Coturnix japonica: one gene and its partners. The protein of the gene in region 1 binds, or shares a complex with, the protein of each later gene. Links are inferred from orthologs where the notes say so. Each region holds a gene or a part of one and is shown in the gene's direction. Other genes may lie near its edges.

Region 1 (3,750 bases):
AGATCCTAAAATATGGATTTTCCTGTAAAAAGGAGTCAAAGCAATATTAGTTAATATAAGAAATGCAGCAATGATGACAGCTGATAAGGATGTCAGTACTTACGAGTCAGCAAGAACGATCCTCGTTCTCGTTACGTTTTCTATAGTGAATTTGGTTTTTCCACCTTTCCCCGCTATTCTCCCTATTGCTCTGGACAGGTGATCTCCCTTCAAAGGTTTGACTAAAACAAGAACAAAGTACTCAATCAATTACGCTGTGCTGCGTATCCTCCGTGACATTTCCTCTATTCAAACAAAGGGAAAAGCAGCAATTAACACATGTTGAAACACATCAGTTTTAGATGCTGCTCTCCTTGTGTCCAGCTCCAGGTTCTCCCCATAGACAGTTATGCCATGTATTGGCATCGGGGTTTTCCTGATCCCCAAAGTGACACACGTGGAAAAGAAGGAAAGAGCAAAGAAGTGCTCAGAAGTGAATGGCTGCTTGAGTAGCACAGCAGAAACTACTCACCATCCGTAACTTCAAATGATTCCAGGAAGAGATCATCTAATCTGATGAGAGCGAGAGCGTCCTGCAACATTCAGAGTCACCATCAGCCTGAGCACTGCAGCACTGTCACACACAAGTTCTTTACAGGCCCAAACAGATCAAATCAGTCACGTATCTCCATTTGACGCATCAAACATCAGTTTTAACTTCAAACATTAAAGAAAACCACCCTGAAGTTTTCTGTTTCTTGATGTCATGTCCAGAGTGCTTGAAGATATTGAGCAATAGCACAACCCGGCCGCTGGGAGACTCACCTCCACCTGGAAGCCGAGTATGAAGGCTTTGACAAAGTCAGCTGCTTTGGTCAGAGCACTGAGGTCTTTGGTCTCAGCACAGGTCTGCAGAACGAGAAGATACGTTTCTATGTTATCAGGCAAACGGAATCAGGACTTGGAAAGTCAGTGAGATAAAGGCTGGCTGTATAAAAGAAAGCCAAAGCCACGTTCGTGTAATGCCACCTCCGCATTGTGTTCTACTGAAAGCGCAGACCAGTAGTGTATGTTGTGCTTAAGACAACAGGCTGCCCAGAGAGCTGTGGGTGCCTTGGAGGTGCCCAAGGCCCGGTTGGGCGGGTTTCAATGAAACACGAGGGATGAGAGGAACGTGAGGACACACAGCACAGCGCTCACCTTGATCTCCACGTTCCTGGTCTTTAAGTTAAACCTGATCTGGAGCTGCAGGTGCTCCACGATGGGCGTGAATATCTTCATCCAGTTCTCCTTCAGCGGCGTGTACCTGTTGGCCGGTACCGGCACCTTCCTCACCTCCCCTTTCCCCACCTGCGGACAGATGGGCGCTGAGCGGACACGTGCAGCCCGTCCGCCCCATCCCTCCGCCTCGGCGCCGCGCTCACCCCCATGGCCGCGGCGGGCAGCGGTGGGAAGGCGGGTCTCTTGCTGGGCTGCGGCCCCGCCGCATCCACCGCCTCCATCGGCTCCGCAGCCGCCGCTCTCCGCTTCCTCCTGCCGCGCTTGGAAGCCACGCTGGTGAAGCCGCTCCCGTTCTCATCCGCTTCAGACTCCATAGCGTGGCCCTCCGCCGGAAAAGCCACCGCCACTTCCTGCCCGTCCCGCCGTCCCTTCCGCTTCCTGCGTTATCCGCGTCGCTGCCGTCGCTCGTTATGTCGGCGGCGGGGCTGGACCGGCCGCAGGTGGTGGTTCACGTGCAGCAGCCGCTGACTTACACCGTGTTCGACTGCAAGTGGGTGCCGCGCAGCGCCCGCCTGCTGTGCCTCGGCAGCGCCCCGCGAGGCACCGGCCTCATCCAGCTGTACGAGCTGCGAGCCGGGCGGCTGCTGCTGCTGAGCGAGGTGAGCGGGGCGATGCGGGGCGGCACCTCGTAGGCCGAGGGGTTTAACGCTTCATACGGTGCCGACCGTGTCCTTTATCTGCAGATCGAAAAGGCCAAACCGATAAAATGTGCCACCTTCGGGGCAGCCTCCCTGCAGCAACGGCACCTGGCGACAGGGGACTTCGCGGGATGCCTCAGCATCTGGTGGGTGTGTGATTCCTTACAGCGCTCCTGGCTACTGAAGGCAACGCTGTGTTATCTGTTTCTCACATAGGAACTTAGAAGCTCCTGAAGTCCCCGTGTACTCCGTGAAAGGTCACAAGGAAATCATTAACTGCATCGATGGGGTCGGAGGCCTCGGAATTGGGGAAGGTGCCCCAGAAATTGTGACAGGCAGCCGGGATGGTGAGTGGGAGAGAGCTGAGCTGCTCAGTGACATCCCTGAACTACAGGCTGTGGGCACCGAAATGGAGGGCGGCCCTTTGGGATGAGCCTCCTCTGCTTCCTTTGGGAGCTGGAGAGGAGGAACATAAAGCAGAACAAATACAAAATAGCAGCTAGACATCTTATACTTTCCCTGTGCTTTTCTGTTTGTATTATGTTTCATTTCTTCCTATACACTGACATAGTCTGGAGGCGTCAGGCTGCCTTTCCCTGGGAAACCAAGAGTGGTGCATCAGTGCATCTGTAACACTGATGGCTTTGCTTTCCTTAGGAACTGTGAAGGTGTGGGACCCTCGGCAGAAGGAAACTCCTGTTGCCAACATGGAACCTGCGCAGGGAGAGAGCAAGAGGGACTGCTGGACGGTGGCCTTTGGTAACCAGTCTGATAACAGCCCCCTGTAATGTCACTGCGTGTTGACAGTAATCAAACCACTGAAGGCAGGGTTTGTTGTTCGGTGTTATCACATCTGTGTCTTTGCACTGTGTTTTAAAGGCTGTCTTTCCATCACGTTTGGTGGTAGTTGGCTCAGGCATTGTTTTCTTACCATCTCTGCTCAATCACTTCACAGACAAGCTTTATTCTTAGGCATTTTTACAGCCCTAGTGTGGGAATTGAACATTTCTATGTCTAGGAATGTAAAAGCAAAGAAACCACTTTGCCCTGGAGGGGTCTAACTGTGATTGTGCATGGAGAACCAATATCTGCTGATGACATTAAGACATTAATGTAAGAGACAATCCCCAGAGCTAACGAAAGACAGCAGAGATGCTTAACTTGTGCTCTTGAATTCAGGATGCTTGAGCCCAGGCCATGTCCATCCCAAACTCTGTGCTCTCAATTCATTAAATCCTACTATATGATGCTTTGCTGGCATAAATCTAAGTTGAAATTGCTGACTTAAGAGGTCTCAAATTTACAGCCTAAGAGGGGTTTCTGTGTTGTGATCAATTCTGTCTCTGTGTCCAGGCAATGCTTACAATCAAGAGGAACGTGTAGTATGTGCTGGATACGACAATGGGGACATTAAGTTGTTTGACTTAAAAGCCATGTCACTGCGATGGGAGACCAACATTAAGAACGGGGTAAGGTGCTGTGGAAGCAGGGCTTCATTCCAGCTGTGGTGTGTGTCTGTTTACAGGCAATCGCGTTATTGCCGAGTTGGTGAAGCTGTTGTAAGAATAACCAATGATTAGATACGTGTCTGCAAATCACACTCACAAATATATGCTTGTAGCAGTGGCTGAACGTATTGGTTTCACTCTTTGCAGGTTTGCAGTGTGGAGTTTGACAGGAAAGATGTGAACATGAACAAGCTGGTGGCCACGTCACTGGAGGGAAAATTCCATGTCTTCGATATGAGGACTCAGCACCCAACTAAAGGTTTTGCTTCTGTTTCAGAGAAGGTAATGGGGAGATGGATCATTCCTTTAGCAACATGTAGTACAGGAGTTTGTACAGAACTTTT
Region 2 (3,750 bases), on another chromosome or scaffold:
AACAGCCAGGTTGAGCCGTCTCATCTCATTGATTCTGTTTCCACACCAAGAAGACACACTGCTACTTGCATCCTAAGCTAAAGCACTACTACTACTTGGAAGATGGCACAGAAGGATGAAGCATTCACTTATCATCTTTGGTTAATGTAGCAAGACAGATAATGAAGGTTCCAACAGAATCATAGAATGACCCGGGTTGGAAGGGACCTCAAGGATCATGTAGTTCCAACCCCCCTGCCTGGCAGGGCCACCAAACATACACCTTTACTAGATCAGGTTGCCCAGGGCCCCGTCCAACCTGGCCTTGAACACCTCCAAGGACGGGGCATCCACAACCTCCCTGGGCAACCTGTTCCAGGGCCTAACCACTCTCCTAGTGAAGAACTTCCCCCTAACATCCAACCTAAATCTTCCCTCTTTTAACTTAAAACCATTTCCCCGTGTCCTGCTATTATCAGCCCTTTCGAAGAGTTTACTCCCCTCCTGGCAGTAAGTTCCCTTCAGGTACTGAAAGGCTGCAATGAGGTCACCCCGCAACCTTCTCTTCTCCAGGCTGAACAAACCCAACTCCCTCAGCCTGTCCTCATAGGGGAGGTGCTCCAGCCCCCTGATCATCTTCCTGTCCCTCCTCTGGACCCTTTCCAAAATCTCCATGTCTTTTTTGTACTGAGGGCTCCACACCTGGACACAGCACAACAGATGAGTAGAGCTCAAGCAGGGGACTAACGGGAAATGTCTCCATGAATCAAAATACTATCAAAGATCCGACAACAAGGCAGCCGGTACTGAAGGAAAATGGTCTCATTGCTCCACAGCCACTACGGCCATAACTCCACCTCAGCCATACGCGCCTAACAGCCGCTCTGCTGTACGCATGCGCAGTCGCTGCAGTTGTTTGGAGCCCACAGCGTGAGGCGCAGCCGTTGTGCGTATATTGCTGTGCGACGGCAGCGGCCGGCACTGCGAGCTGGGGATGTCGCGGCGGGAGGAGGAGGAGAGCGCCGAGCTGGGCCGTAAGGAGGAGCTGAGCCGGAGGGTGAGTTATGGAGGGTCTGAGGTGCTGCCCTGCGTCTCATAGTTGTGTGTGGGAAGGAGGAGGGTGTGCTGGAGGCTGAGCTGCGCTGTGGCCCAGGTGAAGGTGTGGGGGAGCTCGAGTGTTGTGAGCCCTTCTGGCGAGTTCCCTTCCCGTTTTTAGTGTTGTGAGATGGGCTGTGTGTGATTAGTCGAAGGAGAATGTGGTTCTCTGGGTTTGTTGAGCAAGTCGTGAGGGAGTTTAGTGAGGAGGCCAGCTTTAAAGCTGGGCTTTTCGTAGTGGCAGTCTTGTCTTTGTTCAGTGTGAGTTCTGTACAGTCCTGGTCAGTTGTCCTCGCATAAAAAGTGACTTTATTCTTCTACACTAATATCGCAATAGATTAGTGTTGTTCTCTAGTTGATTGGTTACATAAGAGACTAAAGAGAGCAACTGCATCAGCACAACACAGCGTATTAGCTGCGTGGCTGAAATGCCTGGTTCTGCTTTGCATCACAAGACTGCACTGTGTTCTTGTCTGTTTCAATAACTATCATAGTATGCTGTTGTAGCTGTTGGTGAAACAGCATTTTCTCAGTTCAGTTTGCCTTATACAGCCCTGTAGTTATTTCCATCTGCGCCAATTCCAGGAGGCAGAAAGGAGGACCGGAGTAAGGTGTGTTCTGTGCTTACAGAAAGTAGTGTGTGTTGAACCACTTTAGCTTTGTGTTTCAGCTTTTTTGATGGGCCCTGATTGCTCTTTGTCTTTAATGGCTCTTTGTCTTTAGTGGCTGACGTTGTCCAGGGAAGCAGGAGCATTGGACTGTTTGTGTCAGTGCAGCTGAACTGATGGCGGTAGATGCAGCATGACAACTTTGTGCTAAAAGTCCAGTGTACTGGAAGTGTTTCTAATTATCTTAATACAGTTTTGGGGTTGTTTTATACATATTTATTTATTTGGGGGGGGGGGGGGGGGTTATTGGTTATGTAGGTTTTTAATTGTTTCATTTACTGTTTTCATTTTGAATCTGGAGAATAAGATTATAAAGTGTATTGTGTAGGTAAATCTTTTCTCTAAGTTGCGTAATCACAGAATTATCAAGGTTGGAAAAGACCTAGAAGATCATCTAGTCCAACCGTTACCAATACTTCCCAGCTAAATCATATTCATCAACACAACATCCAGACGTTTCTTGAACACTCCCATGGTCGGTGACTCCACCACCTCCCTGGGCAGTGCATTCCAATGCCTGACTACCCTTTCTGAGAAGTAATACTTCCTAATGTTCAGCCTGAATCTCCCCTGGCACAGCTTAAAACCATTCCCTCTAGTTCTGTCATCTCTTACATGAGAGAAGAGGCCAACCCCCAGCTCACTACAACCTCCCTTCAGGAAGTTATAGAGAGCTATAAGGTCTCCCCTGAGCCTCCTCTTCTCCAGGCTGACAAATGTTAATAGTTGTTTATACGTTTGTTTTTTTGGGGGAGGTTGAGGGTGAAGTGATTTTGGATTCTGAGCAGCGAGGAGTACTCTGGCTTCCCAGTAATGACTGCTTTGGGGGGATGGGAACAGTGTCAACCATGCAAGATAATTCCCTTCCAAAGCAGTTATTTAGAGTGCTTCATTGTCTTATTGTTGAATTCATAACTTAGATTTCAATAAGAAGTGTGTTAAATGTAATTCAGTTATGTGGTCCGAAGACTTGTTGTATGCTTGGAATAATGGGTAATGAAATTTCTTTTTCATTCCTGTGTCCACTTTCATTTTAGTGGTCTGTTCAGGGCACAGTGACTTATATTTTTATAGCTGTCTTAAAAACATGGGTAAAGATTTTAATCTCCAGGACTGCAACACAGTAGTTTATTGTTGACAATTATATTGAGATGTGTTTTTTCTCTTTCAGATTAAGGAACAGAAGGTTGTAGTTGATGAGCTTTCGAATTTGAAGAAGAACAGGGTAAGCATTAAAGTTTTTTCTGCTTACTTCATTTTAGCATCAGATAAATTTGTATAGAGGCAAGAGGGCAAACAAAATTGCAGTGAGTACATTATCTTTAGTTGTTACACTAAAGATTTTAATGTGTATATGATCTTCTGTATGGTGTCAAAATGTTGTCTACATCGCTTGAGGGTTTACTTACACTTGTGCATTGTAACAGGAAGCTGTCTCAAGGTTTTACTTTAGCACAATTTTTATATTATGATGTTTGAGTGGATCAGTTTATGTTAAAAGCTTCTTTATTTTTCATGTGCATATGATGTAAAACAAAATATGACCCTTTAAGTATGAGGAAAGGAGGAAAATGCAGAATGGTTGTGGGTTGTTCCTGAAATGTTTTGGTGCGACATGAGGACATTGCTCATGGCAGAGAAGGTATCTTTCAGACATAAAAGGGAAGGGTATCTCAGTGGACTTCAGTGAGTTTCTGCTGCAGTGTGGTTGCCTGTGTATGCTACTTTTACTTAATGTGGTGTTGTATTTATTTTACAGAAAGTTTATAGGCAGCAACCCAATAGCAACATATTCTTCCTTGTAGACCGAACAGAAACACTGTCTCAATGCAAAAGTAAGTTTGCTGCACCAAAGGTAATAGTTCAACTGTTTAAAAGCTGTCTCTGTAGCTGTTGAAGATTTCCAAGTTGTAGTACAGTGGGAAAGCTGGCAACTGCATGTTAAATACCAAGTGGACTTCAGTTGTGCCTGCTTTTCTGGGCTGAATGAATGTGGTTCCCACTTGAT
Region 3 (3,650 bases), on another chromosome or scaffold:
AAGTACCCTGTCAGAGATCTGGAAACTTGAACCAACAGATGAAACTTCTGCCATCCATGTTGTCATTTCTGGAGATAGCTGGATTTTAACTCCTGGGTTAACAGCCAGCTACATTGTTAGTCCTCCGCATTCCCTGAATGTCAGCAGAAAGACACTTCTAAACAAATATTGGCGTTCATGAAAGATGGAACTTCTTTTATTCCTTTCTGTTGAACTCCGTGTCACATTTTCATGACAACTTTTATTGAATATTTTTATCAGTGTAAAAAAAAAAAGAAACAAATATTTTAAAGGATCAGCTGTTCTTTATTACAGTGGAATGTTTTCCAATCGTGTTTAAATCTTGGTTACATTTTAGATCACCTGCCTGGCAAATAAATAATTTAAAAGAGTAAATGTTCTCAAAAAGGATTTTTTATGCACAGTGCAGCTGTGGCTGAGTGCAGGGAATAAAAATCTCATACAGTTGGCCCCTATTTTATTTATTTTTTGCTTGATTGGTGTGAAACCTTCCTTTAGGGGGCTCAAATTGTAAAAATCATTAGGGATGTGTTAGCAGCCTACCAACGTGGTGACAGAAACTAACTAGTATTAAAGAGTTCAATTGCAGTAAAGAACTGGAATAACCCCTTAGATACAGGGAAACAATATGCTGTCTATGAGTTGTAACTGCCAGTAAATCAAACAAGCACTACTGAAGTCCACAGCACCTTTGAGCCAAAATATGAAGTTTTCTGCAATTTCTTTCCTGGGCTTGTGCTTCTGATTTGTAATTAGGAAATGTCTCTGTTTAAGTTAAGGAGGTCTTTTAAGAGTTAAGCTGATCCATGCAGATTGATTTTGAAACAAAAGACAGTCAACAGAAAATTCAAAACACTGATTGCTTTTTTTCAGATCTTGTTAAGCTCTGAACTGATTCAGCTTTGCTTTGTATTGTGGAACAGAATTTGCTCGAGTCTGATTATTTTCAAATGAAATAAAGCTTAAAGATGTGATTTAAGACCATGCAAATATACCCCAAAGATGAATGTCTTGCAGTTTGTGGGGGCAAAATAGGACTTAAGCTGAAACATTAAAAACAAAAGGGAAAAGCAAGACTGCAAATGTCCAGAGTTTACCACAGAGAGTTCTACTGTACAGAATCCCATATTACTGAATGCTCCTTGCAGATGTTGTCTATGTGACACAGCCTCATCTTGCTCAATTTCATCATTCAGAGGTTCATTACTTTAATGTTTTGGCATACGTGAAAAACATTTGAAACATTTTCTGAAATTAACTTTGTGTAGAACTTCCAGGTTATGGTAAGTAAGAGAAAGCACACGTTTCTTACCAAGAAGTTATCCTCTTATCCGAAAACCCCACGATTTCTCACATTTCAAATCCTATCCTTAATTTGGGTCCAGTAGAGGGAGACAGACTCTTATTTGTCAGTCCTTTCTATTTCCCTATCAGCAACTCAAGATTACTGGTGAAGTGTCTGATCTATTTCAAAGCAAAATGAAAAGTTAAGGAACAAGGAAAGTTTTATAAAGTCCTAATAGCCTCAGACTGCACAGGATGATTTCCTTGTATCTTGTTACAGCCTATTCATCATTTTTGGTATGGCATGTGTGTCTCATAAAATACTTTATAGAGTCTCCTCAGATGTGGGTTCTTTGAAATTTTATGTACTTAGAGCGTCTGCATAATTGTGGTGGTGATGATAGTGGTTTTTCTTCGGCACAGTCTAAACATTAAACTCTTCAGCTCTGTATTATTTATCAGTTTAAAATGACTTTTAGTCCATTACAATGGTTTTGGCTTAGAATATTGTAATGTTTTCTCAACTCACTGAAAAACAGTGAAGCAAGGATGTCACTGTCTCCTATTTTGAAACAGTTTTAAGCTTGCTTTGACAGATTCTGTTAAACTTTGTCTAACTCACCTCTCACTTATAACTTAGTAAAATAATATATCTTGTTTTTCTTAAAAACAAAGGTTTTTTTGAAGTTACTTTTGTTCCTCCTCTATCCTGACTTCATGGGACTTTTCTGAAAGCATGAAAATCACGTACAACTCACAGTTGTGCTGTTGCTGCTGATCTTTAGTTTCAGAATTCTGATCAACTGTTGATCTTCAGTTTAAAGTTACTAGTCAGGCAATTGCCCTCTTTGAGTGGAGGTAAAAGAGAGAGGATGCTGATATCTGCTTAAAGAATGAATAATAAGCAGCAGAAAGAAAATAATTTCCTAGAGTTTAATAAGCTGCTTTTTGGATCAGAACATAGGTTGAATATTGAAAAACTATAATTATCTTTCAAATTTTGGAATTAAAGAACTCCAGTTAAAGGTAACAAACCCTAACAATATATTAAAAACTGTATTATATTTTACATCAATAATGTATTATATTCTACATCAATATGTTAGTATTGATGTAGAAGAGTCTTGAGTGCTTTTGGTCATTGATTTGTGCAATTAAACTATTCCAAACAATTGCTTCCAGGATTGAGGATTAAAGAGACCAAGGAGGTGTACGAAGGAGAAGTCACAGAATTAACTCCATGTGAGACTGAAAACCCTATGGGGGGCTACGGCAAAACAATCAGCCATGTAATTATAGGACTCAAAACTGCAAAGGGCACCAAACAGTTGAAGGTACGTATGGTAGAGTTTCAAAATTTCCTTCAAAATGTCACATCTGCATCTTTTGTTTTTACCAGTTCTTGATCCCCACGTGGGTAGAATAACAGTGCAAAGAAACTGTTTTGCTAGGCAGCATTGTCTTACTCCTGAACACGTACTTTTGTCTCTTCAGTGTTTGTATGTTTTGGATATTGGTCTTTTCTCCTACTTATTGAAACTTTGTCGTCACTCTTAACAGCTCCTGTTACTTTTCTGTTTTGACAACACACACTTGTGAGCATTCAAGTTAAAAGATTTAACCAGCAAAAGATTCCGATGCAGTTTTGCGGCAACATCAGTAGCTCACAGAAAAGCAGGTTCAGTGGGGAATCAGAACTATGACCTGATATGCTCACAGTGACTGCAGCTGTAACTTCACATTCATAATAGCAAATGTTCAAGAAGGTTTATTCATTTTTGTTTTGCCTGATACTCAACTGAATTTTTGAGAACAGTTTTGGCAAATTTTGTCTGCTTCTATATAAATTGTTCTTTCTGCCACAGTTCTTTTTATGTGTGGAGATATGCTTTAGTGAATACGTGATAGAGAACTAGAAATTGAGCTGGTATGTTGCCAGCTCAGCCCCACTTTCCCTTTGTTTTCTTGTCTCTGTCCTTATTGTTTAATTTCCCTGTCAGAATACGAGAGCTGAAAGCTGTCTCTGTTGTTAAGTATCAACTTGCATTTGTTCACACTGAAAACAAGAAAATGCAGAGGAAAAATGAATAAATACATACTATGAGAAACAATAGCATCTCATATTCCACGTCCGCTCTCCCTCACAGCTTGACAGAGGATGCAGACTGAGGATCAAGTAGCACAACGCAGTGCAATAGTCAGTTTTTGTAAAAGTTTTGCTAGAAAGCAAGTGAAGCACCACATCCTAAGTGTAAACACATTGTCACATTACACAAAGGCATAACTGGTATCATTATGTTTTTGGCACTTAATGTCACTTTCTTCAGACAGATATTTTTGTGTAA

Evidence for each region.
Region 2: WDR92 (region 1) and ASDURF share a complex: the UniProt entries of both Homo sapiens proteins name them as parts of the PAQosome complex. The link is inferred for Coturnix japonica from reciprocal best matches to the Homo sapiens genes DNAAF10 and ASDURF.
Region 3: WDR92 (region 1) and RUVBL1 share a complex: the UniProt entries of both Homo sapiens proteins name them as parts of the PAQosome complex. The link is inferred for Coturnix japonica from reciprocal best matches to the Homo sapiens genes DNAAF10 and RUVBL1.

What each region holds. Positions count from the first base shown.
Region 1 is NC_029518.1:372,769-376,518, forward strand, and holds the start of WDR92 (WD repeat-containing protein 92), read left to right. Parts: upstream 1-1,640; 5' UTR 1,641-1,670; coding exon 1,671-1,859; intron 1,860-1,943; coding exon 1,944-2,044; intron 2,045-2,114; coding exon 2,115-2,245; intron 2,246-2,555; coding exon 2,556-2,657; intron 2,658-3,251; coding exon 3,252-3,367; intron 3,368-3,553; coding exon 3,554-3,688; intron 3,689-3,750. Other genes in the region: RNA-binding protein PNO1, read right to left, coding at 1-22, 104-221, 512-572, 805-888, 1,180-1,329, 1,404-1,574. UniProt on the Homo sapiens protein: Key assembly factor specifically required for the stability of axonemal dynein heavy chains in cytoplasm.
Region 2 is NC_029522.1:4,422,892-4,426,641, reverse strand, and holds the start of ASDURF (ASNSD1 upstream open reading frame protein), read left to right. Parts: upstream 1-906; 5' UTR 907-973; coding exon 974-1,036; intron 1,037-2,913; coding exon 2,914-2,967; intron 2,968-3,501; coding exon 3,502-3,577; intron 3,578-3,750.
Region 3 is NC_029527.1:7,150,846-7,154,495, forward strand, and holds part of RUVBL1 (ruvB-like 1), read left to right. Parts: intron 1-2,487; coding exon 2,488-2,639; intron 2,640-3,650. UniProt on the Homo sapiens protein: Possesses single-stranded DNA-stimulated ATPase and ATP-dependent DNA helicase (3' to 5') activity; hexamerization is thought to be critical for ATP hydrolysis and adjacent subunits in the ring-like structure contribute to the ATPase activity.